Linked DNA regions of Bombyx mori. The protein of the gene in region 1 purifies or fractionates together with the protein of each later gene. This does not show direct contact. Links are inferred from orthologs where the notes say so. Each region holds a gene or a part of one and is shown in the gene's direction. Other genes may lie near its edges.

Region 1 (3,500 bases):
TTGTAAAGCATCTATCATTACAGAAGACTTACTTTACTGTCCATTTTAGGTACTGTTTGAGTTAGAACTAACAGGATGTAATGAAATAACAGAAGCCGGATTATGGGCATGTCTAACACCTCGAATTGTATCACTCACGCTTACTGACTGCATTAACATAGCTGATGAGGCTGTAAGTATTTAACTTCAATTCATAGATAACTACAGTACAATGTTTTTACTCTTCGAGTCTATTCACCATGATGTATAAATTTTTGTGAAATTAAAAAAAAGGCTTATTTCCCACGATTTTTTGTTTTTGATAATTATGGAATCGATTGCCGTCCAGAACTAAATAACAAATACTTTCAAATGTTATACAAAGATGAATTATTTCTTAGACTGCTTATTAACGCCTTCGCTATGTCATCATTCAATTGACTTTTAAAACTTGACACGATTGAAAAACTTGTAATAAAAGTAATAATATGTCAATGTAAATAATCACACTATCAAATGTCGTTTCATCAACACTGTTTTGAGTAAGTTTAGTGATAAGAAAGTTGCATTCAATTTTATTTAAAACAAGCGGCCCGCTTCGGCTCCGCTCGGGTCTTTAACAAAAATTTCAACGATATTTGACGTTTTATTTTTTTAAATAAAATAACCCTTATTGAGGCATAACTATAATAGTTAGAAATACCTATATGCTGTCGCGACACTTTTTGTTAATAATAATGTGTTCTACAAAGTCGTAGTACATTATTTTATTCTATCACCAATAGTTTTCGCAGGGCACACGATGAAAAGAATATTTTAGGTAATTTTTTTACGCCTTGGGTTACATTATTGGAGTTTTAGTAAGGATCCCTAATTTTTTCAAAAAATATTATAGCCTATATCACTCGGGAATAGTGTAGTTTCCAAACAGTTTAAGAATTTTTCAAATAGGTTCAGTAGTTTCGGAGCCTATTCAAGACAAACAAACAAACAAATCTTTCCTCTTTATAATATTACTAGTATTAGTATAGATTATTATAGATAAATACTACTACATACTAATAACTCGTATTTCATACGAAGGTTGGAGCTGTCGCACAATTGCTTCCGTCCCTGTACGAGTTCTCATTGCAAGCCTACCACGTCACGGATGCAGCCCTCGGTTACTTCTCTCCAAAGCAGAGCGCATCGCTGAGCGTCCTGCGTCTGCAGAGTTGCTGGGAACTCACCAATCATGGTGTTGTTAATATCGGTAAAGATAACATTAATTTTCATTTTATTACCCTCTTTTTTTCCCTACCTAAGCTTGTAGCCTTGAGAGGCTATGCCAACGTAACCGAGCGAGTAGGTGAGCTCACGGGGCTCTAACCTTGGGACATTGCTAACACTAGCCCTAGTTAGGGCAGTGCTTCGCAGAATCTACCATCGAATTGGAAATGTAACCCACAGAAGATCTGGCGAGAAACTCAGTGGGTTAAACTGCCTTCGTATCATATAGAGAATAACATTTAATGACAACTGTTAATAGTAAAGTTTAACATGAAAGCTGTAACTTTGTAGTTAGAACAGCACCGCCCTATGCCCTTCGCTGCTTATTGCTAATTCTATGATATAAAAACATTTCTTAGAACTATTCACGCGCCATCTATTGTAAGTTGATGGTACTATGACAGAAACCTTGGAGCGCTAACCACAATTGTACTAAGATCAATAGTTTAGGAACGCATAGAGGAGGCGGGATTCGAACCCGCGACCCCCTTGTGTAGTGACCATGTCACTTACCACTACACCAGACGGCCGTTAATAAAATCCCTTAAAAAAAATCTTGGTTGAATGTACTGAACGTGCCGTGTTTGTGCTGGCGCAGTGCACTCGTTGCCGAACCTGACGGTGCTGTCGCTGAGCGGCTGCAGCAAGGTGACGGACGAGGGCGTGGAGCTGCTGGCGGAGAACCTGCCGCGCCTGCGCAGCCTCGACCTGAGCTGGTGTCCGCGCGTCACCGACAGCTCGCTCGAGTACATCGCCTGCGACCTCAACCACCTCGAAGAGCTCACTCTCGATAGGTAACGCGTAATCGTTTACTCAAGCTTTTCTCACACACTTTTCGTTGATTCCTTTTTTTTATATTAAATACGGCTAAAACGTTTATTCTTCTTCGTTCTATTGAAATATACTCTTCCCTGGTTCATATAGTCCATGTTACCCTACGTTCTTATTACCTTGACCAACATCTATTGTAATGGAATTTTTCGACATAATTTTTGTTTATTCAAAATGTCTAATTAACTTTAAAATTTGCGTACGTATCAAAGACTGATGACAAGGTAATAATAATGATAATGTACTAGTTTAATAATTTTTTTATTTTTAATAAATTTAATTTAAAATTAACTTCTTAAGGATGTGTGCTGACCAGGATAAAAAAAATACTTTTACAGCAAGCTTGCCATTCGAGCGTGTTTTATTTTAAACTATATATTTTTGTCCGTGATTTTTGTTTATTTTTTTATTGCTTAGATGGGTGGACGAGCTCACAGCCCACCTGGTGTTAAATGGTTACCGGGGCCCACATACATCTACAACGTAAATACCGCCATCCACGTCGAGACATTAGTTCTAAGGTCTCAGTATAGTTACAACGGCTGCCCACCCTTCAAACCGAAACACATTACTGCTTCACGGCAGAAATAGGCACGGTGGTGGTACCTTCCCGTATGGACTCACAAGAAAGAGGTCCTACCACCAATAATGATCATAAAGAAATCACAAACGCGTTGGTAACAGCATTTATAAAATAAACAGTTCTTAAACTCAATATAAATCTACAAAACCTGTGTCCCCTCCAGATGTGTGCATATAACGGACATCGGCGTGGGGTACATCAGCACCATGCAGACCCTGGTGGCGCTGTACCTTCGCTGGTGCTCGCAGCTGCGAGACTTCGGCGTGCAACATCTTTGTACCATGCGGTCTTTACAGTGTCTGTCCTTAGCAGGTATGAGAATTTGTTTAGTCCGTACAAACATACTTACCGGTTTCCAAGAAAATATATAGAGCCAATATATTTTTACATCATAAAACCTCTAGTATTTCTGAGAGATTATTTTTGTGATGCTTGTGTTGTATATTATTTTATTAACTACTAGCCGTACTCGCCCGCTTCGCTGGGCCTTTAAAATTAACATTATTATTTATTGTCATTATTATTAGTGAGTCCAACGCTCATGTAAATATTAGCCTATCCATTAAGTACATGTATTTTCTACATGTATACCAAGTTTCAAGTCGATCGGATGCATGGTTCAGTAGTTATAGCGGAGCATCCATAAAAACCACTGTAGATTTATATATTAGTATAGAATAGATAAATACAAAATAAATATAGAAAATGCTAGTTGTCATTGCCATTGTTAGACAGCCCTCAAACTCATTTTAGGAGTTAGAACAGAAAATTAGAATAGATAAACAGGCATAATAAAGAAGTTATTCATAACATTTCTCGGCACCCGTTTAAGTATCAG
Region 2 (3,091 bases), on another chromosome or scaffold:
TATGCTGTATCATAAAAAAATAGAAATTAAAAATTTTGTCTAAAAAATAAAAATAAAAATTTAGGGGTGGACTACCCCTAACATTTAGGGGGATGAAAAATATATGTTGGCCGATTCTCATAGATACCGGATAAGCACAAAAAATTTCATCAAAATCGGTCAAGCCGTTTCGGAGGAGTATGGCAACGAAAACTGTGACACGAGAATTTTATATATTAGATTTCTTCTTTACTCCATTCACAAGTTTCTTTTTTTTTTTAGTTGTGTGGGAAACTAAGTGTGTATCTATGGTGGGAAATGAATGTTGGTGTTGGAGGGACTTTTTGGCGGGAACGCGAGGAGTGAAGTGGTGTGATTTGTTTTATTTTGTCTATTTAGTGTTTCTTCAGGTTTAAATATGTAATAACGGTGGCTTATTAACTGTTTAATATCTGTGAAAGTGCACAAAAGTGGGAAAATGAAACAAAGCTGCTGGACGTAAGTTCTCGGGTTCCTCTAAAAAGTCTACTGAAAAAATCTCAGTAAATGACCACCATTTTACTGAGATCATATTTCATCCCATATCATCAAATTTCATTTAATTTCATCTAAGTTGATTAATTTCTCAAATTAATCATCTTCATTTCATTTCATTTATCTCCATATTATCATTTTTCATAAAAATAAGAATATAAATTAAAATAAGACATGACTTAAAGGTCTTAGTTATGAGGTCATAAAATCCCTTAAAAAACAATTGGTGTTGGAGGTACTTTTGGCGGGAGCGCGAGGAGTGAAGTTGTGTGATTTGTTTTATTTTGTCTATTTAGTGTTTCTTCAGGTTTAAATGTGTAATAACGGTGGTTTATTAAATGTTTAATATCTGTGAAAGTGCACAAAAGTGGGAAAATGAAACAAAGCTGCTGGACGTAACTTCTCGAGTTCCTCCAAAAAGTCCACTGAAAAAATCTTAGTAAATAACCACCATTTTACTGAGATTATATTTCATACCATATCAACTCATTTCATTTAATTTCATCCCAGTTGATTAATGTCTCAAATTAATCATCTTCATTTCATTTCACTCCATAATAAAAAATTTATAAAAATCTGAATATAAATTAAAAAAAGACATGACCTAAAGGTCTTAGTTACCAGGTCATAAAATCCCTTAGAAAAATTTAAACGAAAGCAGAAAAAAAAACAAAATTGATTAATGATTTTATTCATTCGTTCACTCATTGATTCACTGTTTGGGTTTAAGGAAAAATCTCCAGAACATAAGGGCATTTTCGTTTGAAGATAAATAAATTTCACTTAATTGTGAACATTCAAATACTTGAAAAAACAAGGTAAATACTTCGCTATTTATAAATTGGAAAATGGCGTCTTATTCTCAGCCGTCGTTTTATGATTTACGTTCCCACCGCTCTTTTGTTCTAGATGCCAAATATTAAGTTGCAATCATCAGACAACGAGGTCTTCGTTGTTGATGTTGAAATCGCCAAATGCTCCGTAACTATCAAAACTATGCTAGAAGACTTAGGCATGGAAGAGGATGAAGAGGAAGTTGTACCTTTACCTAATGTCAATTCTGCAATACTCAAAAAAGTTATTCAGTGGGCTACTTATCATAAAGACGATCCTCCGCTACCAGAAGATGACGAAAACAAGGAAAAGAGGACTGATGACATATCATCATGGGATGCTGATTTTTTGAAAGTTGACCAAGGCACACTCTTTGAATTAATATTAGCTGCAAATTATTTGGACATCAAGGGTTTATTAGATGTCACATGTAAAACTGTAGCAAACATGATCAAAGGAAAGACTCCTGAAGAAATCCGTAAAACGTTCAACATTAAGAATGATTTCACTGCTGCAGAAGAAGATCAGGTTCGTAAAGAGAATGAATGGTGTGAAGAAAAGTAAACCATAATAAATGCTATTTGCAAGCATCTTTATGTATTATCACTATGTATGCAACATTAAACTATTTTTCCCATGGCAATAAAGAATAATTAATTTAAACCAAGTAAATTTGTTTGTGTTGTAAATTATATAAAAATAGGTACATCATGTCATTGTGATTTTCAATAAAATTTAAATTTTCATATTATCATTTAAATTACTTTTCATTTAACTTTAATTGTATTATATTTATTGGAAAATTTACTTTATGAAATAGAAATAATTAGCATAAATCACTGACTTAAATTTTTGTCATCTGCTTATTTTTTAACTAATTGTGTGGGTAGTCTTGATTGTGTCCAGAAATTGCCAGTATCCATTGCAATGTTAAACCACAAAAATAAGTTTGTCACCATCAATGTCAATACAAAAAGTAAATAAATATACAGTCACAACCGTTTACTGCGACATCATTTTGAGCAACATGCTGGTTATAATAACCTAGAACAAAGGTCCCGGCTGAATGCTATATGACCGCCTTATTAAAAACATTGCTTTATACGACATTGCTAATACCGACATACCTAATAAAATGACCACATTTAACTAATATTTCGGAGAATTAGATCTGTTAGAACGACCGGCTAAGCTGTATTGTAAACAATTTGAATAGGTATCCACATTTGTCTTCAATGGCTATTAAAATCAGGAAAGAAAACAATAGGATTTTGTTTAGTGTAGGGTCTTTTCTAATTCTTAGAAACAAAAATGTGTATGCGGTAGAGTCAAAGCCCACTTCTTCATATCTTTTCAGTTAGTTTGTTACTTATCTATACACAAGACACACCAAAACTTTGTGGAGTTATTCGTGAAACTTTCAAAATGTTGCAAAGAAAAAAAACAAATTAATAACAAAGAAAAATTGCGTTTTGTGTAAATATATTTTTCCAATAATTCACTATCGATTTGTTTGTACTTTGTTTGTACTTGCACGATACACATTAAACATCACTGGTTGTTACGACTGAATATGAGCAGTCCCTTCGATGTTGTTATAATAGATTTTCACTGTATATGTATGTATTTGATAACCACATTCCCTTAGTCAGTTCCTGATGCTAAGATAGAATTAAACCATCAGCATAACAAATGAAAATAATATATATGAAACAATTTTTTCCTCTTAGATATTTGTCATTAA

The links. The genes of interacting proteins can lie anywhere in the genome.
Region 2: the proteins of F-box/LRR-repeat protein 16 (region 1) and S-phase kinase-associated protein purify together in Homo sapiens (affinity purification with western blotting; 5 studies listed by BioGRID and IntAct, with this or other methods). This does not show direct contact. The link is inferred for Bombyx mori from reciprocal best matches to the Homo sapiens genes FBXL16 and SKP1.

What each region holds. Positions count from the first base shown.
Region 1 is NC_085117.1:11,694,028-11,697,527, reverse strand, and holds part of F-box/LRR-repeat protein 16, read left to right. Parts: intron 1-49; coding exon 50-172; intron 173-1,062; coding exon 1,063-1,231; intron 1,232-1,846; coding exon 1,847-2,042; intron 2,043-2,825; coding exon 2,826-2,974; intron 2,975-3,500. UniProt on the Homo sapiens protein: Substrate-recognition component of the SCF (SKP1-CUL1-F-box protein)-type E3 ubiquitin ligase complex.
Region 2 is NC_085119.1:7,149,929-7,153,019, forward strand, and holds S-phase kinase-associated protein, read left to right. Parts: upstream 1-1,184; 5' UTR 1,185-1,331; intron 1,332-1,422; coding exon 1,423-1,911; 3' UTR 1,912-2,591; downstream 2,592-3,091. UniProt on the Homo sapiens protein: Essential component of the SCF (SKP1-CUL1-F-box protein) ubiquitin ligase complex, which mediates the ubiquitination of proteins involved in cell cycle progression, signal transduction and transcription.